Drosophila melanogaster: one gene and its partners. The gene in region 2 interacts genetically with the main gene of each other region. Each region holds a gene or a part of one and is shown on either strand. Other genes may lie near its edges. The genes, in order: Sse, thr and Spc105R.

Region 1 (9,230 bases), on a different chromosome or scaffold from region 2:
GGCATGGCGGTAGCTGCCAAGGCAGCACCTACAGGCCGCGAATGTGAGCTCATACCCAATCGTTTAACTAATTTTCCCCATTTTCACCACCTACCCACCAACCACCCAACAGAAATCGCCGGACTCGCCGCATGCGCTGCTACAACTGCGGCGAATTCGCCAATCACATTGCCTCCGAATGCGCTTTGGGTCCTCAGCCGAAGCGCTGTCATCGCTGCCGTGGAGAAGACCATCTCCATGCCGACTGCCCGCACAAGAATGTGGTAAGTGCTCCTCTACGATTCCACAGCCCCATTTCGAGGACTAAGCCCACATCGTTTCGCAGACCCAAAGCCACAGTAATAGCAAAAGCATAAGCAACAATAGCAGCAGCAGTGCAGCCCAAGAGAAGAGCGAGGAGGCCACCTAGGAAGTCCTTGGATCTTGGACTGGTAGTTGGAAGTTAGAAACTTCCTTGACAAGTACAAAATGGAAATCTAAGAAAAAACACGCATCAAATCAAAGAAACCCACGTACAACAAAACTAGCTACTACACTTAGATATTAGCGGGAAGAGACGCGCCCCGAAAACCATCCTATCCTAAGTTTATTTTCTATTTTAACATTATTTTCTAGGAACCATAGTTGCTAAGGTTTTTCACTAGATCCCAAGTAAACGAATTAAGCTAGAGAGCATCCCTTGGTCTGTTTTTTGAAATCGGAGCTTTTGCACCCTGGGGCCGAACTAAAAGCTCTGTGCTGATAAGAAAGTCCTGGTCGCGAGTCACGTGGCCACTGACAACAATGGAGCTTTCCTTGGGGCAACAACAAACAGCTACAAATGGAATCACCATGAAAACGCAGAATCACTGTGTAAGCTTGGAAACCTGAAACCCGCCGCTCCCGGCGCTAAAGTCAGCACCCACCACCCCCTGAAAGTGAAACATAGTGAGCAGCAGCAACAACAAACGGATTGGGCGAGGACATGGCCAGGAGGAGCAGGGAAAGGGAAAGTCCTGCCTTTTTTTGGTCGCTCTCTTTTTCTCTCTCTCTTTTTCTCCAGCTGCCTCTCTGCCTCTTGGCTCTTGGCCCTTTTGGCTGTTTTTGTTGTGGTTTAGTTTGCAACATTTTGTTCGGGCTCGCTCTCTCGCGATTTTTGTCCTTCGCCAAGGAAGCAGGAGCAGGATACCCAAAAGGATGCAACTAAGGCCAGCGTCGAGCTCAGTCTCAGTTGATCTCTGCCAGAGAATTGTTGTGTGCAACGCGGCGGAATTTACATTTACACCATATTAACACAGAAAAATATGAAGACCCAAAAATAAAGGACCCTCAAGTCCAATTATCAAACTTAACCAAAAACAATAACTTAGACAACTAAAAGAATTTCAACAAAGTTAACAAAGCGTTTCAGCAACAAATTTTCAAAAACCCACAAACCCCAAAACCAAAAAAAAAACCATTAAAAAAATTAAAATTACACAAAGTAAACGGAAAAAGTTTGTACAATTTTTTTTTTTTGGCATAAAATGAAAACAGTTTTTCAACGCATAAGTTATACAAATATGGAAAGGAAAAATGCTGGCGAAAACTAAGAGTTCAAGGTTAAAAGAAAATGAGAAAATTACCTTTTTAACTGGGCAAACAATAATAAAGCATCAGCATCCACTGATAGAAAACAATAACAATAACAATAGCAACGTCAACGTCATCGCATATTCATTTGGGCCAAACCACAACCACTCGTACCCACACACAAGCACACACAAGAGCACAACAACACCAACACACCCAGAGGCACACAAACACACACACACACACACACTGGGAATTTACAACCAGATTTACATGGGGAGCGCCTGTTATGTAATATCCTCCTTCTGACGCTGTCTCCTGTCATGTTCCAAGTCCTTGTTCCTTGTTCCCTGTCCCCATTTCTCGATTTCGCGATTCTCGCGTACGTGTGAGTGTGTGTCTGTTTGCGTGTGTGTGTGTTTTGGGGGTGTGGCATGGCATGCACCTCGGATTTGCTGCCCCTACGGGTGCTAATTTGATTTAACTCGCTGCATGGGCACGGCATTGAGACACCACGACGAAGGACGAAGGACACTGGCCGCCCATCCCAGCTATTGGTAAATCATAAAAATAGGGACGCGCCAAGGTGTGTCTGCCTTTTTTTATGGCATGCAAATCGAGGCCGTAACACAAAAAAAGAAAAACACACGCATATTACGCATACGCCGCGCGCTCGGCGATTAGATGGCTGGGAAGAAAAGAAGTTATTGGGTTGGGCCTAATTAACGAATGTGTGTCATAATGCGACAGGCGTTAGTAGGTCAAGTAGATGCGATGCTGGGCGATTGGAGGTCGCCGCAGGTTCGGTGGGGGAAAAGCTCTGGCCAAAAGGGCAACCCGAGGACGAGGATGGGAACGAGGTGAGATGAGTCGCGTTTTTGGAGAGCAAACTGGGCGACAAGCCCGAGTACGAGTGCGAGTAAATAAATATATGGGCGTTTCTGGGCATTCAGGCATTATTGCACATTCGCCCCGTGGACGAGGGTTTAGCCTAATCCCCACTCGCATTTCAATTATATTGCATTTTTATAAATTCTCAATGTTTCCTTCACTCAATATCTTTCTCTCTGACTGTCGTTTGCACCACACTTTCACTTTTTTACTTTACCTCACCCACATTGCGATTTGTACTCGAATTAATGTTTTTCACTCCCTACTCTTGCACAGGCAAATGTAAGAATGAATCTGTACTCTGTATCTGGCATGATTCCAACTAAGGAAAACGAAAACTCTAACCTAAATCAATTAATCTAAATAGTTCTCAAACGGTTTAAAGTTCCAACAACACAATGTACAAAGTCTAAACATGTTTAAAACTTCTACTTAAAACTAAAAACTTAACCGAAATCAAGGACACTTCAGTTAAAGTGCTAAATCCATAAGGAAACATCACTCAATCTTCCAAATAAACTAAGAAAAGGTAAGTGCCTTGGAATTTCTTCCTAATATATAAATGTTTAGTTTATTTTTACTATTCTGAGTGTTACATTTAGCGTTTAATGCAAACTTTGAGCACCACTTTCCACTTGAATGAAGTAGTTCAATTAAATTAAATTATTGTACACAGTTCCATACGCAAAACTTTGCTTAGGGAGATCGACTCCACGACGAAATGAGCTATAAAGGCAGCTTTTCCACGGCCAAATTCCATGCGGGAAGTCCGCGGCACACGTAAATGCAGCAGTTGTAGATATTCGGCTCCACTTTTCCTTGCTGTACGAGAGATAGGATAGAGCACAGGCTGCCCAGATGGTAGTTGGGTTGATCGTTCATGGTGGGCGTGGTTTCATCTTTTCCTAAATTTAAAAGAATTCCTTAAATATGTAACTTAATAATATAAATAAGACATTACCTTTTATAATGCCATTTTTGAGCCAAGGCACCCGATCAATATGTGTCCACGGAATCACTTTGTTATCCCCCGGGGCCAACCAACGACTCAATATTGTCACCGAAACAGTATCCATATTACCATCCAAGGCGGGCATGAGAGTACCAACTATCGAAGGACACAGAGCTCCATGGTAATAATCATGGGCTCCATACAATGCGCTGTACAGGCCCGTGCCCAACATGCGTGTAGAATCGCAGCCGAATAGAAAAACAACGCTGCGTACCCGAGCCCGGCAAATTATGCGACCATTGACGTACTGCAGCCCAGAACCGTGACCTGCGTATCTAAAATTTAAGGCAAAAGTATTAGAATGCCATTGTTCGCTTGCAATCATATCTTACACAAAGCAATCCGCCTGTAGCGCCTGTTTCACCATCACCTCCTCATTGGGCACGGTTTCAAAAAGATGCTGCCACTGGGAGAGCCAGTACTCAAAAAAGCTACGCAGCCTGCGGCCGGAGTTGACCAAATCCGCATCTGGGTTTATTACACACATGCCACGTTTAATATTTGTTGTGTAGTAGCCATGCTTTATGTTTGATTTGTGATTCTGGAACAAGCGCCATAGGCAATGCAGTGATTTGACGCGGGAGAATTCCTGCACGGTGACTAGTTGTTCCCAATGGAGGTGGTCTAGACGCTACATAAATAATATAGTAGTATGTATTATAGTATAGAAATTCAGATGAACTACCTCATCGACTACCAGGATGATGGGAAATCTTCTGCTCGCCAGGGGCTGACGCTCCTCCACTTCCGCCCAGTCGCTGGCCAAACCCTTAAGCAATTCGTATGCCGACTGGATCTCATTTTCGTTGCTCGACAGCTCATAGCAGATGAGTTTGAGATCTGCGATTTCCAGTCGATTGGCATGCGAGGCCGCTTGGGAAAGTAAAACACGTTGGTGGGTACCCCATTGATTAAGCAGACAGAAATCGTCAACACGAGTATAGGTGGCTTTGATTTGTTTTTGAACAACAGTGCAGTCATATCTTTTGCCAAAGAACAGAAAGGAATATGGAGATATTATGTCCCGAAAGTCGGCAAGTAGTTTCTAGAAGAGGTAAAGTAATGCTAATAAGATACATTGATATTAATGTGTAGTACTTACTTGCTGAAAAGTGTCAAAACCATTCAGCTCCTCCCAATACTTCTGCTTAGCCTCTTTACCTTTCATGTTGAGTGGATCCACGGTTACCACTCGCCTAAATCTTTCCACCAGAGTGCTATACTCTCGAAAGAGATTTGCCGTATTTTCGTTGGAAATTTTCAGGCAAATCGGTCCCAGTTGGGAACTTCTACAGTGTCGGAGCAGAGTGAGATATATTGCTCCATCGCTGGCAATGATCTCATTGAAAACGGAGTAGGTGGTGGCGGGATTAAAGCTCTTGCAGAGCTGGAGGACACACCATTCTTGGGGCAGACTATTGCATTTCTCTGAAATGCGAGTTAGACCCTCTGTAGGATCCTGGACATCATCCAGGAAGTCTAGATACTCTGGTATTTCGTTGATTGGCTTCTTTGGCTGTTTCTCCTGCTCCATTTGCTGGAGGTACTTGATGATGTTCTGCAGAAATTTTTTGCTAAGAATAATGTTGGTAATGTTTGTTTGAGTTTTAAAAGAGTTTAGTTAGTTTATATATCACCTTTTGTAGTCCTTTTTCTCCAGTTTAGTGGCTGATTTGATCAGCTCCTCTGCGGTGGGACGCTGATTTTCCAGTTCCGCCGATTCGGTAAGGTAACGCAGATCGGTGGACTGGAACTGGGCTTTAACCTGGTAGTAAATTGAGTGCTCCACATTGCCATTGCGGTATTCCTCATCGGCGCGCAGTAAATTATATTCTGCAGAAGAAACATGAACATTAACATATTATTGCGAAGATGCAGTGGGAATTTCGAAGTTTCTGGGTCTGCTTATATAGTTACCCTTCGCCTCGGGGCCAACATCTGAACTGGTGAAACCGGCCAGCATCTCAGCCTCGTCACCGGTTTCCAGCATTTCCTATTATTTATTATTTACTTAATTGCTTATTTTCAAACTCGAGTCCGCAAATTGCTTCCTCCTCTTCGGACGATATCGATAGATGCCTTGTAGCCTTTACCAACACTGAGCTATCGATGGGCGATGTGCGATAGGAAACTAGCTCATTTTGTGGTATTTTCTAGTACTTTTTTTGAATTTCGCGGTTATTATTGTGAAAAGCATTGTACTTAATATTAGTCAAATTCGTAAGCTTTAACAAAAATGAAACTTAATTAAAAATATGAATATTAATATTTACTTTTCTGCAAGCAATTCGGGTACGCCATATTACTGTATTAATTACAGATAACTTGTAATTTTTACGATCATAGTTATGTAGTTTTAAAGTAATTAAGAATTTTATAACATCCTATGCCCAATAAACTATAATCGTACGATTTAAGGCATTATAGCTTTTAGTACACCCGTTTTTGTTGTTTTGCTGTCAGCAAAAAGCTTTCCCTCTTGTTGATGTTTGCGGCCGTTCATTCATAAAAACATGAATCGAGATGAAAAGGTGCAAGAGATTGCAGGTTGGCCGGAAAACAGATGTTAGGGTTGCCACGCCACCTAAATAAGGATGAGCAGCGGAAGCTGCGCAGCAACCACACCCTCTCAAAATGGAGCCTTAACATCAATTAAATATTTGTTCAAGTGTTTTAGTGTCTGATTAAAATATATTAGCGCTATTTTCCCATCAAATGCAGTTCATATTCATTTCCGAGGGTCAACCCTTAGCCTTTAAAGCCTTTTAGTTTTTGGCAACCCTAAACCACACCCTCTAGTTGCCCTAAAAACCTTACGCAACAACAAAAGCCAAGTACACACATATGTACATACCGTACATATAGGCGGCCAATTAATGCATATGCGAGCCGAGATACAATATTTTATTTTTTGACTTTTGGTTAACTTTTAAGCTGGCTTTTTTGTTGATTTTTAAATATGTACTTTTTCCAAGACTTTGTGACGTGCGTCTGGAGCTCTGCTGCCGCCTCTGCCGACGTCAGCTGCAAACTGCAGTTTTCTAATGACGTCTTTTGGAGGCAGCAAGAGATAACGGTATTTAACCGATGCGAGTGGGCGGCTCGAGCTTTGATGCCACGCCTATTTCTGAAATACAATTTTCAAGTATTTCTTGCTAATTAAAACGAGTTGTTAACAATATTCAAAATATGCAAAAACATTTGTTAAACCTTTAAAAACTTTGAAGTGCAAGCGGCTAGAGCGAATAATTACCGTTAGAGAAGCTGCAGCTGGTCGCTGTTTTAACTCAACGAAAGCTTCGATAAATATTGAATTGGCGCAGGGGTATAAGGACCTTTGCTCTCTTTGGTTTTGCCTCTGCCGCTACTGCGGCCGCTGCCACTGCCGACAGCGACAGCGACGCGAGCGTCAGCATCCTTTCTACTTATTAATTTTGATGTTGCTTTTCACTTTTACTTTGTCGGGAAACGTGCTGTTCAAGAACTTTTGCCTGGTGGGCCAGTGTTGGAAAAGAGAGGCTTGATCCTTTAATCGGAAATTTTTTAGCTTGATTGTCATGATGGAAAAGAAAAGACACCACCCCCTCACACCACTAAGCCAGCCCTATCACCAAGCCCCCCTTTAAATTCACTGGCCTTTATCCTTTATGTTTTTTGGCTGCATTATTAATGTCGCTAACTCGGCACGTTCGTTGTCCTTTCCGCCTAGCAAATTATAACATTAATATTACATTAACACACACGTACGCCAAATCACACACACATACACATATGCATTGGGGAGACATTAAAACTTTCGCACACAGCAGCACATGTAACGAAAGGCCAAAAACAACAAGAGCTAAGCCACCCCAAAAACAAAAAAAATACCGAGAGTATGTGTGTGTGTGTGTGGCACACATTCCAACAGTTGCAGCGATGTCGCGGTCGACTGCGCAGTCGGCGTCGCAGCATCCCTCTGCATTTGAGCGACTCAAAACGAATTTCGAAGTCGACGTCGACGGTTGTGTTTTGTCGCTTTTTCTTGCTTCCAAAAAATACTAATATAAACAAAATAAAGCTTTTAACTAGCTTCACAAAAAATAGAAAATAACTAAGTATAAAAACCAGCTGAAATAATAAGAAAAATCCTAAGAAAAGCCATTTGAAAAAGCGGAAAGAGCGTAGCATACTTTTCAGCCCCAGTGGATAAAACGCCCACGAGGCAGACGAAAATGAATTAATCAAGTAAAATTCAAGCAACAAACATTCCGCAACAAGAAAAGACATTTAAGTAAATTAAGGTGTGGTGATTTATGCAACTTTTTTGAGGCACACACGCAGCGAAAAGAGAGGGGTGAAGGGGGCGTTGAAGCCACTGCACATACCTCTAAGCTAAGCCAACACACACACACACACACACACACACACTCGCAGGGAGAGAAGCAGGAGCAGAGGCAGAAGAAGAAGCAGAGGCTGAGGGCATACAAAATAAAGGATAACGACGGAAAACCAAGAAAGAAATCGAAATTAAAATATAAGCCTGTGGGAGAAGAAAGAGGAGTGTCGGAGAGGGGGAGGGGCAGCAATTTTCGGCTGTCGCTGTAATTCGACGCTCATCTCCTGCTCTACTTTGCTCTCTTTCTACGCTCTTGCCCGCTTTCTCTTCTCGCCACCGCTTTGCTCTCCCGTTTCGTCAAGTGAAAACATTTCGTTTGGGCTTCGTCAAGTTTTGTAGGTATTTTGGCTACACGAAAATACACAGCGCCTTCATCCTTCTCGGTTTCGTGTCGAAAAACGGAATATCTCGTTATTTCCAGTCGAAAATCGAACTCAGACACACCGAAAATTCCTAAAAATAAAGTGAAAAGTGATCAGTTAATAATTAACGAAATTAGTTTCGAAAACATACGAAAAAAGCAGGCCAAAAACGAACATTTTTTCGGTGGGCCGCGAAAGGCGTTGCCAAATCAAAGGCCACAGGATAAAACAACAGATCCGTAACAAAATTTCAAATTATATCCTAATCGCAGGCACTAAAGCAAGAGGAAAATCCCTAACTACAAAAGATAAAATCAACTAAGCTATACAAAAGTTAATCATACGCACCGTTAATAAGCACCAAGTGAAAAACTGACTACAGGAAAACGCAGAGCAAAAATAAAGGACAAACAAAGGAGTAAAACTCTCTAGAGAAGCAGAAGAAAACAGCAGTATCAGCAAAGAACATTCTGCTGCATAAATAATACACTCGACATACGTATACGCCATATAGGCCAGGACATACCAGCAGGATATATCACACACACACACGCACGCACTCACACATACGGACGGGCAGGACGTGCTCCTGTTCTATTATTTAACTGCTTTCAACGTCAGCACCACGTTCAACCCGACGAAAGTCGATTGAAAGCCGCCTTCAACGGCCACAGCATCCCTCTCTCTCTCTCTCTCTCAGCAAACACAAAAAACAAAAAGGAAAACGAGAGAGCGAGTCCTTTGCTTGCGCCAGTGTGTGTGTGCGCGCGTGTGTTCGCGACAGCAGGAGCGACGTCAACGTCAATCCGCTCAATATTTATACATTGAACCGAGTCTCCAGGCCCACGAGTTTTGCGGCCCTCACAACGCAGACGCTCCTGGTCCTCCGCTGGGGCCCAAAATAAATAACATCTGACAGCTGCCCAGAGTCCTGAATTCGGAGTCCTGAAAGAGCACTCAGCGGTTAGGGGCTAACAAAAGAAGCATAGCCAAAGCGTGTGGCGATACAATTTCCCTGGGAAAACATCAACCAAAC
Region 2 (11,207 bases):
ATAATAAGAGTGGTTTCCACTTGGCGTATCGCGCAACGGAATGCAATCTGTTATTTGTTCCGTTTGAGTGCCCATTAACCTACTCGCAGTCGCATTTAAGTAATTTCAATCATGACAGGGATATATAAATATATATATATGTATATATATATATATATATCATACATCAATAATTAGCCTTCTGTACCTGTGAATATTGCTAACCAACATAATTATTTTCGATGCCGGCAGCAAGAAATTGAGGGCCAACGAAATAGATTTCGTTTTATTCCCACTATCGTTTTCTTGGCCAAACAAGTCTGTTAGCTGTTTGCCGTGCATATACTCGTATGTATTTCTCACCCATTAATTATGGGTAGTTTAGACTATTGCAATATTGTAGCAGTTTTGCTGAAGAGGAGCAAATATCAAAGCAAATATCAACATACATCATGATACATTCGTTGGTTTCCCAGCATTGTTAAAATTCCCACTTATTGTCTAGCAATTCCACACACGACACAGTTAAATCTAGATAAATTATTAAATTATAGTATGCAGTACATAATATTAAATAAATCAATTGGAAAATGTGCAAGTATTGCAGGTGCTGAATTATTATATTAATTAATTGAGTGACGAGGTATTTATATGTCGCTTTTTTTTTTTGGTTCATCAACTTGTTATGCATTCCACATGTACACCTAGCATGCTGAAGAAAGGGAGGCGCGGCATTAGGGGCGGATCAGATAAATTAGGTCCATTCAGATCACATAATATAAGAGAAAAGTTGCTTATTTGCCAATTTTGCAATGTTCTCGCGAGAAATGGCTAATAATAATAAGAGGCGATGCCGGGGAATCGTTTCGATTTCTAACCAAAATTAAATAAAAATCATTAATGACTTTCTTCACTTTTGCAATTTTCACATAGGTGGCGATGGTGGAGGTGCAACTGGATCACGATACGAATGTACCACCGGGCATGCTGATAGCCTTCGCCATCTGCACCACCCTCCTGGTGGCGGTGCACATGCTGGCCCTGATGATCAGCACCTGTATCCTGCCAAATATTGAGACGGTGTGTAATTTGCATAGTATTTCCCTGGTCCACGAATCGCCACACGAGCGTCTCCATTGGTACATTGAAACGGCGTGGGCATTCTCCACGCTGCTGGGACTCATACTCTTTCTACTGGAGATAGCCATCCTGTGCTGGGTGAAATTCTATGACCTAAGTCCGCCGGCGGCTTGGTCAGCGTGTGTGGTCCTCATACCGGTGATGATCATCTTTATGGCCTTCGCCATTCACTTCTATCGCTCCCTGGTGTCGCACAAATATGAGGTGACAGTCTCGGGCATCCGTGAGCTGGAGATGCTCAAGGAGCAGATGGAGCAGGATCATTTGGAGCATCACAATAACATACGAAATAATGGCATGAACTATGGCGCATCCGGGGACATTGTCTAGCATCACTTGGCGTATCCGCACAAGTGGATCGAACGAAAAAGACAGCGGCTCAGGGTAAGCTTCAGATTATTTTTAGTGAAACACACATATTGTAAATTTGTAGTTGATTAAAATTGTGATACGCGGAATTCAGTAGATTTCTACTATATATATATATATATGTGCGAGTGCTGCTGTAGTCCTTTATTTTACTTATGGCAATTGCGGATTAGCACGGATATTGACAATGATAAAAGACCCCAATTAAAGCAATACTTCGGATGAATATTCCTCAAAAAATTAGCTGATATTTGTTACATATTTATATTGCGTGTATTTTAAATTGTATGCCATGCCGGATTTTCTTTTTTTGCAACCATCCTTAGGCAGTCTTCCCTTTTTACGTTTAAGACACAACTTGATTGTCAAATTTAATATTAAGCCAATTGTGTAAGCGAAACCGCGCTGTAATTTATACCATATAATTTATGATTAAAAGAATTTTCTATATATATGGTGTTGGAGTTTTATTTTTAATCGTGATATATAGCTGAACAATAGATGCGGATTAAAAGAATGCAAAATTTTAGAGACAATTTGATATATTTTATATGCAACATAAAACAATTGTAAAATAAAGTATTTGAAAATGTACTGCAATATTTATATACGAATTATATTCATAGGTATTCCAATAGTTTTGGAAAATATAACAGTCTATTTTCGATCTTTACCGATGTAAGCTAAATAGCGCTGTAATTTATATACGACTGATTAAACGATTTTTACTACATACACTTAACCGGAACAAACGATTTTCTATTGAGCCAATGTCTTTGGCCTCCTTAAGTTAGCGTGTCGCTGCTGGAGGAAGCCAAATGGTGGCAAGACATGCTGCTGCTGGCTGGGGGGGTTCGATTAGACAAGTGACACCACCGCACGCACACCGCCGCCTAAAGTCGGACGACACCACATGGCACCGCCGCAATTGGACGGACTTGCTCCCGCGCTCAGTCATCGAAGACATGTCGTCGCGTACGAGCGGATATAGTAGTGGAGTTCGCTCTCAACGTTATCCTGGTGGGCAGTACCAGGGCAAATGGTTGGGCCAGCAGCCTCACGGGTTTGGGGTAAAGCAAACGAGCAGTGGACTTGTCTACGAGGGTCACTGGCAGAAGGGTCAACGGCATGGCATCGGAAGTTTGCGTCGCAAGGAGCTCGATGGCCGCATGGAACGCATCTACGTGGGTCAGTGGCGGGAGAACAAGCGGAGTGGCGAGGGCAAGCAGTTCTATCCGGACGGATCCGTCTACTTTGGTCAGTGGCTAGCGGACCAGCGAAGTGGAGAGGGCATCCTATGGCAGGCGGATGGCGGCATCTATGTGGGCGAGTGGCTTCGGGACAAGATGCACGAAAAGGGTTTACTTTTCACGGGTGAGTGTGATAAAGAAATAAGATATGTTCCTTTGGATGTATTTGTTTCATTTTATTTATTTTTTCGCAACTTTAAAAATGCATAAAGATTATAGATAATAAGTTAATATGTTATCCATAGCAACGGGAAATCGCTACGTGGGTCAATTTGAAGGAGGCTGCAAATCGGGCTCAGGTGTATTTTACCATGCCAGCAATGGACAGCGGATTCAGCACGGTTTTTGGAGCAAGGACATCTGTAGAACGTCACTACTGTCCCTGCCACAAGATAAAAACAATGAATTTATGTCAAAAGCTCTTTTGTAACACTTACACACAATATATATATATATTTAAATACCAAGACATTTTCGATAAGAATAAATACGAACTAAGGAGACTACTATCTAATCAGTGCCGATGCCGTGTGCGTGTGCTAATGGACTCCGTTTCGGGAGCCTGTGCTTCCAAAACCTGGCGCCTCGTTCGCTTGGATGAAAGAGTCGCTGTCTTTGGTGTCTCTACTGGTTGGCGCAGCCTGGCTCTGGTGCTCCGTGTACTTGTAGTTATTGTCGGCGTTTCTACTATTTCCAAGCTATTATCCAATGTTAGGACTTTACAAGCTTTGGATGTGGCCTTGGGTTTTGCCTTCTCCCTACTTTTTGGTTGTGTCTTCTTTGTGGACACCAAAGGTGAATCGTCATCGTCGCTTATCTCGATCGCTTGGCAGGCATTTAGATCCACGTGATCCGAAGGCGGTGTATTCTCTGTTCCGCTGCCACCGCTGCTACTGCAACTGGTAGCACTTGGTGGTCGTAGTTCCAGCTCCTCGTAAATTCTGAATCGAGGTGCCTTTTTGGCCGACTGTTTAACTTTAGACGCCGTATTCTTGACTGCTGAAACCGATCCTATTGCGGTTCGTTTCTTATCTTCGGGTGAGTGATTGAATACCAAAGCACGTCGAAGGATTTTGACCTGTGGCTTATCCTGACCCACGGGTTTGAGTTCTAACTGAGCCGTCTTTAGCTGAGCCAAAAAATTGTACTCGAAGTTAATGTCGACCGCGCGTGATCGCATTTTAAGGCCCAATTGAGCCGTTGATATAGCCTCTACATGCTTTCGCGCAAAGCGAAGATAGTTCAGATGATACAGCTGCTGGGCATGCAACATGGGATACAAAGCGCTACTCATCGGAGGTTTTTCCTGCATCCAACTATGCGCTCTTCCATAGAATTCGTCCAATTGTTCGCTGTTTCTCTGCAGAAAGCGGAGACGTGCATGTAGACAGCCCGTTACAAAGTACAAGCATTGCAGCTGGGAATTCTCTCGAAGATTCGCTGGCGCCACATCGAGTGTTATGTAGCGATCCAAGTCCAGTTGGGGATTTGGGCTATGTGGTCGCATTTTGAGCAGATTCGGCGAGGCCATATTTAATAGCTGCTGCTTTCTGATCGGCTCCACCAACTGGAGGAGATGCATATTACTAGCCAGATCTCTAATTGCTACATCCTTAATCGCTTCCTTTTCCGGCCTACTCGTTGGATTCAGCTGTTTTATACCTAAACAATGCTCGATGAGTCTCAACTTCGATTGCGCCTTGTCGAAACTTTCCATTTGCAAATTGGTCCATAACCATGCAAGGAATACCTCTATGGCTCTTAAAGCCAAGCCAGATTGGAGTACCAAATGTAGTGCAATGTTGGAGAAGGACAGTCTTTCGCTTAATCTGTTCGCAGAGCACTCGGTGCTTTCCCTGACAAGAGTCGAAAGAAGCAGCTGCAATGAGCCGCCATCTAAACTGGATAGATTGCAAAAACTTCGCACATTGTCCAGAAGAATGTCCAATTGACGCAGAGGAGTCGGCAGCCTGCAATTCGTTGGCTTCCTTTGCTGATACCCAATTCGAAAGCGCACCGTTTGCAGTGTAAGCAATACAATATCACTTTTTCCTTGTCTCTCAGGAAACTCTTCGCGAAGTTGTTCCACATGCAATAGAAGCAACTGGGCATGACTATAGCATTCCATTCTGGCATAGTAACTGGCGAGGTGACAAAAACAGAGCATTACCGTAGTTTGCTGACGCTTGAAGAATTTGCCATTTTTCAATTGAGGCCACAAATCATCCAGCAATTCCTCTGCTACTTCCACTTCCTCGCCGAGTTTCAGATTTAAACGAGAACTAACCTCATTCTGTGACAGAAAATGATTTAGGGCACGCAGATAGGTAAAACGATCTTCCAGCAAGCGACCCATCCTCAGAAGCAACAGCCAGGCATCATCCTCTTCTGACTGATACCCCATACTTGAAAGTGCATTGGCAGTAGCGATGGCATCGTCAATCAATGCCTCCCAATCAATAGACGTTTCATTTGCGCTCAATGGCTCTTGATCTGCTCGATCGAAGAAGTTGCTGAAGGCCGAGATGGCTTCACTAGCATAGTTGACCAATCGCTGCTCCCTTTGTATGTTCATCTGCCATAAATTCTTGCTGAGTAGCAGCTCCTCGAACATATTTTCCGTTATCTCCTTGGTGGAAACTTTGGTTTTTTGAGCCTCCAGTGCGTCCAGTAGTAGTCCCACACTTGCGTGGCCCAGGCACAAGTTATCCATTCGACTGAGCGAACGTTGTTGCCTTAGCTTATCATGAACCTCTATGCATTTCTTCGAAATCGAGTCATCCTTTCGCATTTGTCTGGCCAAGAGTACCAGATGATAGTCACTCGTTCGGCAACGAATAAGTGATTCCATATGAGCCGTAGAAGGACTCCTCAAATAGTGTAGTAAGGCAAAGAAATCGGTATCATACAGCTGTTTCTTCTGGTCCGGAGTGAGAGGGAAAGGTAGTGGCGTGGACTCGTGCCACTCGTAGACACACCTTTTGATCTCGGTGCCCTTTTTTCCCAGATTGTGATAGTACAAACAGACCTGTGATCTTAATCGTGCCGGATTCGTAATCGAGGCCAAGTAACTGGCTTGAATTCGACATGCTATATTGGAATCGCCGCAATGGGAGCTGGCCTTAAAGAGGCGTCGGAGTAAACTGCTCATATCCTGGTCGGCAACCAAAGGTCGCAGCTTCTGCAGTGGCTCCAAAAGTGGCAGCAGCACGGACATTTGCTCCGGACAGGTGACCTGATCAGCCACGTATGTCAGCTGGCGCACTAGCTTAATGATCTCCACACTGGTGGGACCCAAACACTTCATGGTCTTAGCTACATCCATTGAGTATTTGACTACTCCCAGTAAGGGCTTGTGAGGGCTCTGCAATAGTATTGAAATGTAGCATTAAAATTCCACAAAATTAGATAAAAATACCCACCACATTTGTTTTCTGCTCCGCCGCCGGTTTCCAATTAATATACGCATCTAATGCGCACAATCCATACGCCAATATGCAGTGCCGTCGCACGCTCTTGCATGCCTCGTGGGAGCAAGTGCAGCCCAAAGGACTCCTCGTAATATTAACCGCCAAGCTAGCACACGTCTGAAGCAACTGAAAGTGCGCTGTGTAGATATCGGGGCTGCTCTCTCCGTCAAACTGCTGCCAAAATATCTGAAAAGGACTCTGCAACTTACTGTTACTTTGATGGATGAGCACCTGTAGCAATTGAATGGCCACCAGAAAATCCGCTAGCCACTGTTCTTTGGCATGCGAGGCTACTTTGTGCTCGAAGAAGTGCTGAAACTTGCTAGACAAGTCAATGTAGGTGCGCTTAAAGTCGCCTGTGGGTTCCCGAACAAAGATTAACTTGATATAGTAGTACATCAGCTGTAGAGCATAGCACAGGTTTGATTCCTGGCGAAATAGTTCCTTGCTCATGCGCAGCAGCTGCAATGACATCTGTTGATTGGACTGTGGACTGAACATGTCGATTTGTACGAGAGCCAACGTGAGACTCAGGCACTCAGGGAATAAGTTGGCCAGGTTCGAACTGGTGCTGCTGGCCAGGAGCATAAGCAGCGCGTTGAACATTTTGGCAAGACTCTCCGACGGCAGGAAGCTTAGGGACTTGAAGAATGATCTACTTCTTTTGCCAAATAAACTCTCGTTTAGTTGAACTAGAAGCGTTGCGCATAGACTTATTTGCCTTTGCGTCATGGCTGCGAATAGATCTCCCAATGATTCCAAAGCATAACACAATTGACTTGTAGCTTCCAAGGGGAGTTTTTGCTTCTGCAGCAGCACATGGAAACCATTGAAGTGGGTCAAATGTATGTCCAGATATATTTTGTAGTCTGATTCTTCTTGCAGACGGCAGGGTTGTTGTCGGATGAGGTTGTACAGCTTCTGACAGGCTTCAATGGATCGCTGTGAACGGGAGAATTGGTTAGAAAGATTCGAAGATTCTTATAGCGACTCCTACCTGATGAAACAAGCCATGATGTATGTACCGCAGGCTGGACAAGTGCGCTTCCCATAAGCTTGGCTTCTCCTCGCAGGGAACTACGCGTGGCAGCATTATGCCCATGATGTCGCAGTAAAGATCCGAGTTCTGGTGCAGATTATCCTTTAAGGCGAGGCAAATATGGCGCAATACATTCACTTCGTATCTCAGAGGTAGTCCATCGCCAGACAACTCCCGGAATTTGGCTTCCACCGTTTTGCGGACTTTTTCCACATCGGAGCGGCTGCCCTTCAGCTGGGTGGCTATATCAGTAGACATTTTTTCAAAGGGAATTGGCACATTTAACTAGTTTAACTGCGACGCTTCCTTTTTTGTTGCTTTGCGCCAGATTTTGAGATCCAGTGTGACCGTCCATGCTAAAGCTGGAAATCCTTTAACGATAACATCGATATCTCTAGTTTTCATATCAGAACACAAATACTACAAATTCTTGTGGAAAATACTAAACTTCCATGCTCATTTCCGATAACGATACAATTTGTTGCTTTATTGATATCGAGATTTAAATAAAAAAAAATACGCTCATATGCGTAAGCTCTTCTCTTTAATAGAAATCATTTTCCCATTTTCCCCCGTAAAAGACAATTTTAAAATGATGTAGTTTATGTATTTCAGTTTCAATGGGCTGGTAAAGACACATCTCATCTCGTTAAATTAACGCGGGGCCTGCTTTAATAATAATCGGTTAATTACTTGTGTATTAAATGAAAAGTCTTGTCTAAAATTGTTTTGTGTATAAGATTTACTCGCCACATTTAATGAAAACACTACTGCCAATGAATAAGTGGAAACATTTCGGTATGTGGTAAAAGTACACTTAAAAGTATATAAAGGTAAACAATTCGGGTTGCTCAAAAGTGAGTGCTCTACGTTTACAGAATGACGCGGAGATAAAGTTTGTGTATCTGGGAGGTGGGTGATGGGTAACAATGTAAGTGTGTTTAAATCGCCTTGAGCAGAAAGTGGGCGAAGTAGGATGCTTAACTTATGCGTATTTAAAGAAGGAATGACTTAAGAGTTAGTTAAAAGTTCTTAGCAGTAAATTGTGTGATCGTTTTCACGCGAAACGTTGACAAATCCGCAGTTGTTCAAATAACGCCGGAAAGCTATTGTTTGATTTTCGTGACTGATTGAAATTTGAAAACAAGATGCTGCTGGATGGCTAAAAATTGTACACGTTGTAATTGTGTAATCTTTAACATAGTGATTTGGATTTCATGTTGCGAATCCTGAAGATGGCGAAGGTGTTTAAAATGAAACTGGAACTTGGGCTCGGATGAGGCTATACTAATGCGACTTGCTTAATTGGTTGTTTGCTTGGTTTCCTTTGCATTCCTCCTCGATTTTTCTCGCTTAAACATGTATTTTTTTCTTGTTTAGCTTTGTTTGATTATTACGTTCATTATGCTCCTCTTTGTTTGGGTTGTTTGTTGTTTTTTCTTTTTGTCGATTTCTTCTTTCATTAGCTTACATTTTAGAGAAACAAATTGTGGGTTTCCTAAAGGATTTATCATCTTTTTCTATCAAAATATGATGTGTGTGTGTGTTTTTGTTTTGTGTGTGGGTGTATATTTAAATTTATAACGTACAAAGACGCTATACCGACAGATCAGGGTTTTAACCATCATGCTTTCTCTTCTTGCCTCTGACTTGCGACTCGTCTGGAAAGAAAAAAAGGAAAATATATGGCATTAAGAACTAATGCTGTCTGGGATATAAATAATTGAACTTACCTGCTTCCTTTTCGCCATCCTTGTCCTTGGCATTCACTGATGCAGCCGATTCGTTTGCATCACCATCGGCATCATCAATATCGGAATCCTCTTCCTCGTCCTCCTCGCCAGCCTCGTCTTCGCCTTCCCAATCAGAGTTATCCTCTTCCAAATCGTCATTGTACACCTCCGACAGGGACACTTCACCATTCGCCTCTTCGTCGCTATCATCGCTGTCGTCATCTTCGTCGGAAACTGAAAAATCAAAGGTAAATTTGATTAAACCAACTTGCTTGTTTGTACATCTCGAACTTCCCTAAATCGATTTTTTAATGTGTTCAACGGAATTGAGATCAACAAACCTACGAACTACTATAACGCTTCTTGTGGGTAAGAGAATCTTTACTTTTTCTGCAGCATTTTCGAGTTAGAGAAGTTCGACTAATACTGAAGAAAAGTTCAGAAACGTTATGCTTACAATATGTAGCACTGCCCAAATTTAAAATGGCAAGGAACCAATACAGCAGGATTACAAAACTTAAGTTAGAATTGCTAGGAGGCTGCGGTGTGGCATTTATCACAGATTGTTCATCGGTTGAAGCATCAGTAGATTCCCTTAGCTGCAACTCTTTCAAGTATTCATCTAATTCGTCTACTTCTTTGTCCTCCGATTGGGGAGGTGGTTTGTCCTGCAAACTTTTTTTCGCCTTAACCCGCTTCTCGAAAGCCTCGAGCTCGTCTAAATCGATCTCTAAACCATTTAAACAGAATGCATTGCACTTATCTGAAAGGCGACAAAAGCCACGGTTGAGTATATGATATTATTGTTAATACGAAGAAAGCGCGATTCACAATAAGCGATTAAGTTAAACAGACGGACAATGGAATTTTAATGGTGGTTACATGGAAATCTTTTATAAAAAAAAAACTCCTGAATTCTGCGATTTAATCTTTGGTCTCTATAAATACGTCGAATACACACCTCCCACTTCGTCGGAATCGTTGCCGTTGACCTCATCATCATCATCGCCATCAGATTGCACCTCCTCGTCGTTGCAATCAAATCTGGAAGTGGTCAAGAAGTTACTTTTATTGTTCTACAATAGAAAGAAGTTACTCAAACTCACCCATCTAGGAAATTTAACGATGGCAACATCTTGAAGATCTTCTCGCGGTAATTATCCACTTGAGTAGCGTCGTTATTAAACAAATCCAGAACAACCAGATTTTTAAACTCCTCCAGGGGCTTCAGGGTTTCCAGATCCTTTATCTTGTTGCCAGACAAGTTGAGATATTGCAGTTTGGGGCTAGTGGTCAGATAGTTGAGGCCACTCGAAATCCGATTGTCGGACAGTTCGAGCTTCTTTAAATTGGGCAGCTTGGGGAAACCTTTCAGTGTGGTGAGACCCACGTTGATCAAGCTAAGCGATTCCAAGGCTGTGTATTCATCTGTAAGGCCAACGATGCTTGTACTACGGCAGTTGTCCAGATTCAGCTCTGTGATCTAGGTTATAATAGGGTTGAGAGTAAATACATAAATTAGAAGTAGTTCATTTTATTTATATGAAACGAGTTTTGAATAATTTTTAAACCAATTATTACTTATCGATATTAGTTATTGAAGACAAGAACAAACGATACCGATTATTTTGGTATATTTGATGTATTCATTGTGGAATATTCAAGCCTCGCAGTCTGGTCACATTTGTAACATTTTTTGACGCAAAGCGAACAGAAAAAAAAAATGGAGAACAATACATACGCAAAAATCGATCAAACGCTGAGAAATTTTTTTTTGTTGAAATGCAAAACGAAATTACATGCAAAATAACCAATTTGGCGTTAATGCAAATGACTTGGTAAACATTGCTGCTGCTCCATCGCCAAATTGCATATTTTTGTAATGCAGGCGACGAGGAAAAAGTGCCAACTCGCGTTTATGTAACCCCAATATATGTGTGTGTGCCACAAGCGTGTGTATGTGTGCGTGTGCTTCGACACAAAGCAGAATGCGCAAAGAGAAGAATGACGAGCAAAACGGAATTATCAAGAAGTGGAAGGGAGATGGCAGGGGAACAACAAGACTAGCCGGCACTCGCAGCAACAAAACAACAACAACATGGTTGACCGTGACGTAGTTTAGTTGTTGCGCCTGTCTGCGAATAGTGGGTGGGGGTGAGAGTGGGTGGTGTTTTGTGGTCTGATAATCTACAAATGAATAAATGTACACAACGTACGCCTTTTGGAG
Region 3 (12,202 bases), on a different chromosome or scaffold from region 2:
AGCGAAACGAGCGTCGAATACAGAACTTCGCAGGCAGGGGGCAGCAGGCAGCAGGATGTGGGATTCGTCCATGTTTCTCAGCACTCTGACGCCTAAGTTCTACGTGGCGCTCACAGGGACCTCCAGCCTGATCTCGGGCCTGATCCTGATCTTTGAGTGGTGGTATTTCCGGAAGTATGGCACTTCGTTTATAGGTGAGTAGTGGGGTTCCCCTTCCTCCGCTTCCTTCTTATTCTGTTTCACTGTCCCTGTTTCGCAGAGCAAGTCTCTATCAACCACATTAGCCCCTGGATAAATGGCAGCGATGGCCAATCAGAGTCCAGCAATGGCAGTGGCAGCAGCAGCAGCAGTGGCTCCAGCAGCAGCAGCAATGGCGGAGCAGGCGGAGGAGGATCGGGTGGAGCAGGGGCATCAGGCAGTGGCAGCGCCACCACAAGTACGGGCACCCAAATGCCCGAGTGTAAGGTCTGGCGAAATCCACTTAATCTATTTCGCGGCGCCGAGTACCAGAGATTCTTTTGGGCCACCAGCAAGGAGCCGTTGACCTACTACGACATGAACTTAAGTGCCCAGGACCATCAAACATTTTTTACCTGCGAAGGCGATGCCCGCAAGGAGGAGTATGAGATCATGCAGACGGCCTGGCGCGAACGCAATCCCATGCAGCGCATCAAGTCCGCTCACAGTGCTCTGGAAATCAATGCGGAATGTGCACCTGCCTATATACTGCTGGCCGAGGAGGAAGCCATGACCATTATGGAGGCGGAGAAGATCCTGAAGACGGCCCTAAAGGTCGCCGAGATCAACTACCGCAAGTCGCAGGCCACCCAACACCAGGGCGCCATTGCGGATGGCATGCATCGGCGCGACACCAATGTGCTGATCTATATCAAGCGACGGCTTGCCATGTGCGCCCGCAAGCTGGGCAAGCTGAAGGAGGCGGCTAAAATGTTTCGCGATCTCACCAAGGAGATACCCTCGATCATGAGCGTACTGAACATTCACGAGAATCTAATCGAAACGCTGCTGGAGATGCAGGCCTACGCCGATTGCCATGCCATTCTGGCCAAGTACGATGACATCTCGCTGCCGAAATCGGCGACTATCTGCTATACAGCTGCTCTGCTGAAGGCGCGCGCCGTAGCCGACAAGTTTTCGCCAGACATAGCATCCAAGCGAGGTCTAAGTCAAGCTGAAATGAGCGCCGTTGAGGCCATTCATCGGGCGGTGGAGTTCAATCCGCATGTGCCCAAGTATCTGCTTGAGACAAAGCGACTTATTCTACCGCCAGAGCACATTTTGAAGCGCGGCGATTCGGAGGCGTTGGCCTACGCGTTCTTCCATCTGAAGCACTGGAAGCAGGTGGAGGGCGCCCTGAACCTGCTGCACTGCACCTGGGAGGGCACGTTTCGCATGCTGCCGTATCCGCTGGAGCGTGGCCACCTCTTCTATCCATATCCAACATGCACAGAGTGCGCGGATCGCGAACTGCTGCCGGCGTTCCACGAGGTGTCTGTTTATCCTAAGAAGGAGCTGCCCTTCTTCATCCTGTTCACGGCGGGACTGTGCTCCATTACCGCCCTGCTGGCCTTGGCCACCCACCAGTATCCGGAGCCCATGGGTCATTTGGCACAGACCGTACTTACCTGGATATCGTATCCATTTCAGCTGCTCAAGGAGCGTATCGAGGCGTTCTGGCCGTGCAATCTGCTGCAGCAGTTGTCTCGCGTCTAAGCCGGAGGTCACACACTCCTCCACTTTCCACCCTCGAATGACGTCACACACACTCACACAAAACTAAGAACACCACACATACTCACACGCATCCATCTCCATGTGGCTGAGAAGCAAGCGGGCAGAAGGCCACGGAACCACTCAAAACACAAACCTTAAACACAAAACATACATATATATATATATATATATATATATATAACGTATATATATTTTGGATCTTAATATGTCTGTGTTGTCTTCGTGAAATAAACATAAAGAAAGCAAATGCAAGCAAACACGCACTCAACTAGTTCCAGCTTCCAAGTGATCCGGATGAACGAAACGAATTTTCAGCAGCCACGCAAGAGGAAACTAAATTACTTTTAAGTTTTATTATTATTTTAATTATTGTAAACGAGTACGAGAAGCGAGTAAACTTAAATTCAAACAAAATCCTTCCTTGCTCTTTATTTGTTTTATTTCGTTCAAAGGACTTATAGTAATGGTTGCTCTTATAAATAAGCTCGATTTCAGTGGAAATCCTTGCCCATTCGCATACACTTTCAATGTGAATTCGTTAAAAAACGCAGACGAATGCATTTATTTTAATTTAAAACAATTTAAAAGGTAGTCTAACATACGCATTTATTTTCTAAGGTACTGCTCGGGATCGGTGAGAAAGGCTTCGAGGAAAGGAATTCCCTTGGGCAGATACTGAATGTTTTCATTGAAGAGATGCAGTTCGGGGCGTAGGATGTCCGTGAAGGAAACGTCCTCAATATTACCGATTTCAATAAGGAAAGTGATCTTCTCGAGACGCACGATGGGTTCCTGGTCGATGCACTTTCGCACTATCTTTCTGACAATAGTTCGATTTGCTTCTCTAAAAAGGGATCACTTAAATTAGTAATGTATTGAGATACACCTTGGAGAAGCTTATACCTTGTTAGCCTCGCTCTCTTCTGCGCTAGAAGATCTAAAACTTTGTGTAACTTTTGCTTGACTTCTGCAATTCTGCGATCAATGCCGTTGAGAAATTTCAAGAAAGCCGTCTCATCACTGCCCTCGATCTCGTCGCTAGGATTCATCGGCAGGCGGAGACTTAGGTGGAAGTTTAAAAAGTGTTCACGCGATGACCATTGGTCCTTGGGAGTGGGCACGTCATTGTCTAGTTGAATGGAACACACGCTAATGGTGGACTCCTCTACTAAGTCTTCGATTTGGTAGTTCACCACGATTCGGATCGTGGTCAGCTGTCGGTTGTAAAATATCATTTGCTGGGACACTTTACGCTGGTAGTCGAAGATCCAGTTGGGCTGCTGTTCGGTTAGCAAACGTTTGAGTCTCGTAAAGAAGGATTCCGGGGGCATGGCTATGTCCTTCTCTTCTGTTCTTCTGTTGTAGAAATAGTAAATGTTAAAAAATGATTCAAAATTCCAAGTGTATTCGGTACTCACAGCTTGCACATTTCAAGAAGCGCCGCTTTGTTCCACTTGGTGGCCTCCTCCTCCACCCTGGTCTGCTCCATTGAATCGTCGGAGTCTTGGTTCCTGGACAGACGAGCCTCCTCCTCGATCTCCCAGTAAGTGTTCACTTCCTTCCACGACGGCCTCTGCCTTATATTGCGCAACCGTTGCTGTAGCCTTGAAAAGTCCCACAATTTCCGAGGTGGCAGGACAAATGACTCGCTACTTAGCCTTGTTTCGCTCAAAGTATGATTGCAATTCCTGCACTTTTTGCAGGAGCCTTCGCTGCCAGCTTTTACCATTGAATTCAGTTGAGCCTCGCAGATTTCAGGTTGTAAGAGATGCTGTTTTTGCTTCTGCTCTTCTTCCTCCTCCTTCTCGTCGCCATCATCGTCTGTTTCCTCCGCCAGCGTGGAAACCAGACTTAGGTGCTCGTTATCTATCTGGTGGGGCTGGTCCTTCCCCTCACCACCCAAATCTTCTGCGGCTGCAAAGATGGTTGTGTTCCCGGTCAGATTGATGAATTTTGAGATTGTTGCTGCGTAGCTCTTGAAGGTTCTATCGTTGGAGCTGCCGCTCTCTCTTTCGCTAGACTGGCGCTGCTGCTCCTTTTGCTCATGGAAGTAATTATTAACATCGGAGATAGTGATGGGTTTCTCCTCTAGATCCATGTTATAGGTCGATTTTCGTGGCAGCTCCAGCATATTAAGACCACCCTGTTTGTTCATCTCAGTCACTACAGGATTGTAGTCCCTTACTGGCTGCACCGACGCGTCCAACTGGTCTACCGTGTAGGTCCTGCGTGATTTACTTGTCCCTGTGTGCATCTGAATACTTTTTGTCCCCCAAGAACCTTCCTGATCCTCCTCCAATTCGATGTCCATGTTGCTATTCGGAAACAGATGCGTGTTTCGTTTCTTGGACTCCGGAAGGTTGGGCGTGAGATGCGTGGGTAGGCGCTTTAGTTGGACGAGATTTTTTGGAGTTCCAAAGCCGGAGGCATTCGCCTCAAGGTCTATCGGCACTGGTTGGTACATGGACAATTTTTTCCGATGGGAAGTCAGGAGAACTCTTTTGTGAATCGGGGTCTTGCACATCTCTTCCTGATCCACAAATTCAGTCAAGGACATTCCCGGCGTGATTGCATTAAAGTCCGGACCCCTCGGCCTAAACTGCGGGCTTTGAAAGTCCATTGATTCGGACATAGCAATGGATTGCTGAGTCTTGGCACTGGGAGGAGTGCCTATCTCTTCGTTTTCTACGGAATTTTTAGATGAATGAATGGGTCCTTCTGGTTTTTCTAGCTTTTCGGAAATTTGGTGCTTGGTCCTTATGGGGTAGTTATGTCCGAATATCCCCTCATCCTCTTCCATGGGTTCCGATAAAAGTAGCGTATGTCTTCTGGATGACGGAACATCAGGAACCTGGCTTCTTTGGGGTAAAGTCTCTTCCACGGATTGTGAAATTTCTGGTCTGTTGGAATCCAAATCCTCGATGATAGGCTCCGCCGAAACCTTCGAGCCCATTGATTTATTTTTAGAAATTCGAGTGTGTTGCGCGGGTACATCTTCTTCTATGGACTCAGTCAGCAGCGTAGTTCTGCCCTTCACCGCAGGTTCGGATTCTCTTTGCTGTTGGCCCGGAATATGATCCTCCTCAATGGGTACCGGTATATGCACGGATTGTCTTGTTTTGGCAGCCATATATCCACCGGACTGTGGAACATTTAAAGAGTCACAGATCCCATTTTGTTTGGTCATATTGTGGTTATTAACATCTTCTTCAATGGGCTCTGCCATGATAAGGGTCTTTCTGTACCTGGACCTCAGAGGCCCCACTGATGAGTTTTCATTTACGGGTTCTAAATCCTCCTGAATAGTTTCATGCGAGATGAGGGTATTCCGCGGCTTCTGGTGGAGATAGTTTAGGGGTTCCTTGGGAGGAGTTTGAACCGATTCGGAAAATTGCTGTTTAGCTATTTGATCAGTAATTGAAAATAGGGCATTTTCAATGGGCTCGGCGAATGACTGAATAATTCTGGCGGTCAAAGATGACTCCTTTGAATTTTCCAGCGGCTTACGAACACTCAAATCCTCTTCAATGGGTTCGGCAGTAATAAGCGTGTGTCGTCTAGAGGTCTTCCTAGTGATTTTATCCTTAGATATAGGAAGTGGCTTTGGCTGATCATTTGACTGATTGAAAACATCTTCCTCTATAGGCTCTGCCATCAGCAGAGTTTGACGAGATTTGGAAGTTTGAAATACCGCTTCTTCAGAAGATTCTTTAGTAAATTGACCTATTTTTTCAGCGATAGACTTATTGCCCTCTTCCTCTATCGGTTCCGCCATCAAAATGGTTCGCCTCGATCTTAACGTTCTATTTGTGCTGGCATTCGTACTTTTATCTTCGTTAGTTAGTTCTTCTTCAATCGGTTCGGACATCAAAAGAGTGTGTCTTGGTCTGGAAGTTGACGAACCAGTGATGTTAGTTTGCACCCTACGTTCCGTTTCTCCAACATCTTCTTCGATGGGCTCTGCCATGATGAGCGTTTGCCTTGGCTTGAATCTTTGCTGTCTAGCTAAACTATCCTCCTTTTCAGCTGGCAAGTCCTGCTGAATATGTTCTTCTTCAATAGGTTCGGATAATAATAGCGTGTGCCTCGATTTTGATCGCTGCTGCTCGGTTGATTTATCTATTGTTTTTTGCGACACTATTGACTTATTCTTTGGCGGTGGAAGACACATTTCCTCCTCTAAAGGTTCTGACAAAAGGAGAGTTTGTCTGGATTTAGCGATCTTTCTTATGTGGTTCTCTCCAGGTTTGGCAATATTATATTTATTGTTAAATTCCGTGTCCTCCTCCATGGGTTCTTCGATCAGGAGGGTTTGCCTAGCTTTGGATCTGCTTTGCGAAGTGAAACTCTTCCCCTGGTTTAATTGACTGTATTTCTGAGGTCCAGTCTTGTTTCCCTTTAAAGCACATTCCGGTAAATCTTTCGCATTGTGAAATATTTCCTCCTCCACGGGCTCCTCGAACAAAAGAGTTTGTCTACCCTTGGATTTGTTTTCTTGATGCGCGACTACTTTTATTGGTATGTGCTTTTCCAAAATGAAATCCTCTCCCTCCACCACCAGAGGTTCCGCTAAGTGGAGAGTCTTTCTTTTGGAATTGTAACCAATGTTACTGCTCATTTCCTCTTCCATAGGTTCCTCTAATAGCAGCGTTTTCCTCGCTTTAAGTTGTTCTCTAGGGGCAACATTTTTAGTTGGTAACATATTACTTTGGTTTATGTCCACTTCCTCCAGTGGTTCTGCTAGATACAGCGTATGGTTCACTTTGGATTGCCCTGTATTCATAGGAGCCGCATTGGGCTTTAATTGTAAGTTTTTGAGAGGGCTAATGATGTCCTCCTCCATGCTTTCCTGCATCAAAAGCGTCGCCCTGCGCTTGGTTTTAGTGCAGGCCCATGTGTTGCGATTTTGGTTGCTGTTCTGCTCGTTGGTTGTGGATTTTTCGTAGATAGTCTCCTGCGTGGTAACCGATATCTCCTTCCTAACGTACGTGGATTTCGTTGTTTCATGATCCATAGATTCATTGAGATGTAAGGTGCGACGCGAGGTAGCAGTTTTCAATGCAGGAATAGCAGGGTAATTTGTCTGACTGAGCTGCATTTCTTCAGCCATAAAATCAGTTTTACGAGTCTTGGAACTCGGAATGGGTTGAAAGTCCTGACTTAACGTAGGATATTCCAAATTCAGTTCCGAGGTTTCGCAAGTTGTCTCCCTTCTTGTCGAGTTCTTCGACGTATTTCTCGACTGCGTTTCGTCGCCTAGTCTGGCGTGGGCCAAGAAGTTTGTATTGTCAAGCATCATCTCATCCGCCTGGGATAGTCGATACTTCTGCTTCTCATCCGCCGCCTTTAGTTTCTCCTTGTTCTTTCCAACTGGACTTGTTTTCGTCGGCGTCAAGGTCATGTTCTCACTGAAATTTAACATTCCTCGTGGCACTATGCTTCTTATATCTTTCTTTGGACTATTATCTCCCGCGCTCTCCTCTTCAAGGCCGCACCAAAACCGATTTTTCTTGGCCTTACGATCCGTGGTCGGCGTTTTTGGCCCGTTCGGAAATATCTGGATCTTACCCGTCTCCAGGTCTTCGTTGAGTTGACGAAAATTGAGTTTCTTGCTTATGTTTTTCCCCGAAATCATGTCGAATGGTATCAGCATCGACTCATCTCTCGTAAAGTTCATGGTGCTATTAAGGCTCTCAAAGGAGTTCGATGGCGAACGATCTCGGTTATTGGAAACTGCAAAATAATGTGACAACCGAAAACTTGCTAATTAGAAACTATTGGGAAGGGATTTAACTGAGATAATACTAACCATTTAATGAGAAGGATGCACCTCCAGCTCCCTGTTGGGTTTTATTCTTGGTCTCCCCCACGTCCATGAAAAGCGATTTCTGCGCCGGAGTTTTTGTCTGGTTTTTGGTGGACTCACGCATCTCCCTTACAATGCTGTCCTCTTCGAGCTCCATTAAACTTTGTTGAGTTGGAGGATATAGAGTTGCAACTGGAGCTGGAGCGGGAGCAGCAGGATTGGGATCAGTAAATCCCAATGGCGTGATGTCCATGAAGGAGTCACTCACAGCCTTGACAGCTGGCGTGAATACCACCTTCTCCAGTTTGTTTGTTGCCACTTTGATGGAGGATTCCTCACAAACGCTCGACGCGATTTGGTGGCGGTTGACGAGAGATCCGGATATCAGATCCATGGTCTTGTCTACCAGCTGGCGGTCGCTGAGACTGCTTTGCAACAGTTTTCGCTCCTCGGAGGTCATGCAAAAGGACACAGCAGAGATTGAGGATGTCTTCCTCGATTTGTCCATCATTTCGCAGGGCAGCAGGGTGAAATCCACGCTGGCCTGCAGATTCACGGACAGATCGACATGTTCCCGCTCGCAGTGGCTGGGCAGGGGAATGTTCTCCTTGTCGGCATGTTCGGAAACCCTCGCTACTGATGCTGATCCTGTGCTGCAGCACTTCGATCCCGAGCTGTCCTCAGCATGGTGTTCCGACACCTCGTACGAGTCGTCCCAGTTGTTGGTCTCCTTGGTGTTTACGAATTCCCTATGTGGAGGGCGGGTGAGCGTTGTACATCGCATATATCTACTGTACGTACCTCACGGACTTCTTGCCACTGAAACTGATGCGTCGCTTGATTTGTTGTTTGATCGCGGACGTTGTTGTGGTCGCCTCATCTTCCTTGGTCGGCACCTTACGCAGCTGCAAGAAGAGTAGGTCTACCATGAGCGCTTCTCAATCAATTAATTTTCGAAGAACCCACCGAACTTCTGCGTTTGTTTGCGTTCATCGCGCCGTGCTGTTAACTTGTTTTTATTTCAAAATCCCATTGGAGAGACGCCGCGATTTTTGTGTTAATGGCAGACGGTGTTGCCAGATCGTTGGCGATAGATCGCTAGAAATACCAAAAGTATTTTTGATATGCCCAAAAGGCACTAACGCCTAACCAAAACCGTTGTGATTCAAATTTTACGAAATTTGCTAAAATCTTTGGATTTAAAAAATTTGTTAAGTTCATTGCTCTATGAATAAAGTTGGAATCAACCAGTACCCTCTTCTCTAGGGTGTTGCTAGACCAAAATACCAAAAATAAATTCTTTTAAATAAAGCTGAAGAAATAAATTTATGTCATAATTTGAATAAAACAAAAAAAGTTTTAATCCGATAAATTGCGAATAATTAAAAATCCATTGTCCGCACTTCACACACATCGTTAATTTTATTAACCATTAAAATCCAATATTAAATCACAAGTTTCGAAACTTTCGAGGAAATAGATCAGGCTTTGAAGGTGTCCTTTTCCTTGCGCAGCTTGCCCATGGTGACGACGGGATCGGTGGCTCCGCCAGCGTGCTTCTGCACGGTGGCTTCGTGAACGCGCATAAAGGGGTTCCAGGACTTCTCCTCGCCAATGGTGGAGGGCACAGTGGGATCCTGGGAGGCGCGCCGGTGCTTGGCCCACTCGATCCTCTGCTGGATGACCTCGTTGTCGGGCTCGACGTGACGGGCGAAGCTCATGTTCTGCAGCGTGTACTCGTGGCCACAGAACACCTTTGTGGCGTCCGGCAAGGCGGAGAGCTTTGTGCACAGCGCCTCGTACATTTCCTCGGGAGTGCCCTCGAAGAAGCGGCCGCATCCGCCCTGGAAGAGGGTGTCGCCGGTGAAGACGGCTCCCTCGCCGCTGCCCTGCTGCGCGGTGATGTGGTAGCAGATGTGGCCGGTAGTGTGGCACGGCGTGGACAAGCACTTGACATGCAGACCACCAATGGTGAAGGTGTCGTCCTGCTGAACCTTTTTGTTCAATGCCCCGATGCGGTCATCGCCGCCATACACGTCCAGCTCCTTCTCCCACAGCTTGAGCAGCTTTTCATTGCCACCGGCGTGGTCCCAGTGATGGTGCGTGGTCAGCACCTTGCTGAGGGTCAGCTGCTGCTCCTGCACCGTCTTAATGACCAGCTCCGGCTCCACGGGATCCACCACGGCCGCCTCGCGCGTCTTCGTGTCTACAATCAGATACATATAGTTATCCTGCAGGGCCGGCAGGATCTTGATCTCCATGCCCTCCAGCTGCACGTCCTCCAATGTGCTGTGCATGCCTCTGAAGCCGACTTTTCGTAGTTTTTGCACTGAAACGAAGCGATGGTTTCACATTTAGCTACATAGATGGCCAACAGATAAACAGACTGACTAGCTACGGACGAACAAAAAGCGTAGATACTGGGAAATGAAATTGCAGCACCGGGAGAGATTAGATTAAACACGTATGTACGGATAGATTACGCTTGACGAGACTTGGACAGATGACGGGCACAGCCAGAAAACGCCGCCGAATCGCTCCGAAACCAGGGGCATCCGCTCGAGGAATCGTCCGCCAGGAACGCAGGAGCAGTGTCGGATTGCTGGACGAACCTCGGAAGTAGGTGGCCGTCAACTGGGTCTCCACGGAGGTGGCCACGCTGCGCCAGGCGGAGGCCAACATTCTGTACTTTCGGCTAGATAAACTGAAAAGCGTGTGCGATTCGAAATGAATTAATTATGGCTCCTAATTACAGTTGTTTTTTTCTCCAAATCTGCTATGCTCGGGCGAGTGTGACCGTTTGGGGGCCGGTAAGGGAAACCACTGACGGGTACACCATCTACCGGAAATATACCGAAACATACCTGCAAACGTAGTGGTGGCTCAAACCGGAAATGAAAAGTTTTATAGCACAGACATAAGCCAATAATAATAAAAATACATTTTTATATTAAATTATATATTCTTGTCTCTAGGCCAAAGAGTATATGTTCTCTTCTGTGGTAAAAAGCTTATAAGTTAACTTTTTGGCACGCCTAACTTGAATTCAGATCATATGTACGAAAAAGACGTCAGTTGGCTTTGAAGCGGCACGTCATAAGTTTAGAACATAAAGTCACTATGTCGGAATCAACCGATCCCCATTGCGCCACCTCCAAGTCCAACCTGATCAAGGTGAACCACGTGGGGGTGACGGCCAAGCTGCAGTCTCCCCTGAAGAAGATCTTCCCACGGCTGAACTCCTCCAGCGATTCCGACGCATATCAGCACAGTCAGACGCAGTACAACATGTTCAAGGATGTGGCGCACGGGGAAATGACCGCGTCCACGGATTCGGGGAGCTCACCACACACTCTGTACGAGATGCACGCTGAGCCGGGGAAGAGTCAGCTTAGCCTGAGCAAGAGCAAGCCCCAAAGGATCGAGTTCCAGCGTTACTCCAAGCGCCGTCCCCGTGTGCTCGTCCCAACGAGAACTGCGCCGAAAGTGAAGGGTCGTGCCACAAAGTCCCACAAATCATCGCAGGCGCAGAAGCAGAAGCAGAAGAGTGGCTTTCTAGCCCGTTTAGTGGAGTCGCTGGACAAGATGTGCAAGTGCCAGCCGCAGAGCCGAAATTCCATCATCGACGATCTGCCGGAGCCACAGTGGAATCGCAAGGAGGCCAACCGGCACACCTGCATCGGCATCTATCCCTTCGAGCATGGCTGCGCCGACTATCTGAGCACCACGGACTCGCATCCGAAGATCAATGCTATTGTCCTGGCCGACCGCGCCACCACCTATGCCACCCACTTCTGGGCGGAGCTCTTCGGACTGCTGCACATCGCCGTGGCCTTCGTGGTAGCCTTCATTCTGCAGAGCTACCGATTTGTCCTCTACTCCCTGGTGAACACCCTGATCGTTGGACTGCTCCACATGACCTCCGACTACTTGCTCAAGCCCCTCCTGACCATGCTCTTCAACGGCTACCTGCAGCCACCACTGATTTTCCTATACAATGTACTGTGCTCCGCCAGGGACATCCTCGATCCGGTGGCCACCACCCTGAACAACTTGATGAAACCGCTGGCCACGGTGGGCGGCAGTATACGATTGGTGGACGTCAACTATCGCCAGGTCCATAAGCTGGCCAAAGAGGTTTGAGTTTCGTTTCGTTTACGCTGTTAAATTGTTATTGTTCGTTTTCGAAGTGCTTTTCTTGTTATATTAAAAATAAGTACGGACTTTATATAAATTCTACTCATTTTAAATTAAGGATAGAAAACTACAACTGCTTGTACAAATGTAATATAATGCAATATATAATATCAGGCAATAATATTATTAAATACATATTTTTTATATTTGTATATAATCAATATTTGTATGAACTATAAATTTAAAAGGATTCCCCCATTGAATCTGTTTCATTTCAATTTTGTTCCGTTGACCGTTTTGTTTCACTTCCACTTGTTCCCGTAGGCGGAGCCATTACAACCCCTAAAACTGAAGAAGTTTTTCCACCTCGCAGCCTTCACACAATATTACGCACATTCCAAAAAACCTTCTCGGATTACATTGTTTTTCTCGTTTCACAGAAGTGTAGGCATGGTGACCCACCCCTGCCCCTCGGAGAAGGAGAACTTAGGGGTAAGTTCTGGC

What was found.
Region 1: of thr (region 2) and Sse, changing one suppresses a phenotype caused by changing the other (phenotypic suppression), as found in Drosophila melanogaster (one study listed by BioGRID).
Region 3: of thr (region 2) and Spc105R, changing one enhances a phenotype caused by changing the other (phenotypic enhancement), as found in Drosophila melanogaster (one study listed by BioGRID).

Annotation. Positions count from the first base shown.
Region 1 is NT_037436.4:5,656,711-5,665,940, forward strand, and holds Sse (separase), read right to left. Parts: upstream 5,538-9,230; 5' UTR 5,445-5,537; coding exon 5,372-5,444; intron 5,288-5,371; coding exon 5,092-5,287; intron 5,029-5,091; coding exon 4,557-5,028; intron 4,500-4,556; coding exon 4,140-4,499; intron 4,086-4,139; coding exon 3,787-4,085; intron 3,730-3,786; coding exon 3,404-3,729; intron 3,348-3,403; coding exon 3,169-3,347; 3' UTR 2,990-3,168; downstream 1-2,989. Other genes in the region: lin-28, read left to right, coding at 1-43, 113-263, 326-409.
Region 2 is NT_033778.4:17,858,346-17,869,552, forward strand, and holds thr (three rows), read right to left. Parts: upstream 7,619-11,207; 5' UTR 7,506-7,618; coding exon 7,206-7,505; intron 7,151-7,205; coding exon 6,161-7,150; intron 6,103-6,160; coding exon 3,253-6,102; 3' UTR 3,169-3,252; coding exon of another isoform or gene 2,984-3,168; 3' UTR 2,928-2,983; downstream 1-2,927. Other genes in the region: orai, read left to right, coding at 913-1,449; CG14490 (uncharacterized protein), read left to right, coding at 2,454-2,862, 2,984-3,168; mapmodulin, read right to left, coding at 8,865-8,908, 8,981-9,214, 9,438-9,743, 9,942-10,024, 10,087-10,463. UniProt on the Drosophila melanogaster protein: Required specifically for chromosome disjunction during all mitoses; maternally provided protein is sufficient until mitosis 14 then zygotic protein is required.
Region 3 is NT_037436.4:20,796,831-20,809,032, reverse strand, and holds Spc105R (Spc105-related), read right to left. Parts: upstream 8,624-12,202; 5' UTR 8,555-8,623; coding exon 8,528-8,554; exon of another isoform or gene 8,491-8,527; coding exon of another isoform or gene 8,467-8,490; coding exon 8,363-8,466; intron 8,311-8,362; coding exon 7,565-8,310; intron 7,489-7,564; coding exon 3,174-7,488; intron 3,112-3,173; coding exon 2,659-3,111; intron 2,600-2,658; coding exon 2,362-2,599; 3' UTR 2,180-2,361; downstream 1-2,179. Other genes in the region: CG3634 (uncharacterized protein), read left to right, coding at 56-194, 260-1,734; tzn (tenzing norgay), read right to left, coding at 9,043-9,890, 10,045-10,243; CG3698 (uncharacterized protein), read left to right, coding at 10,682-11,704.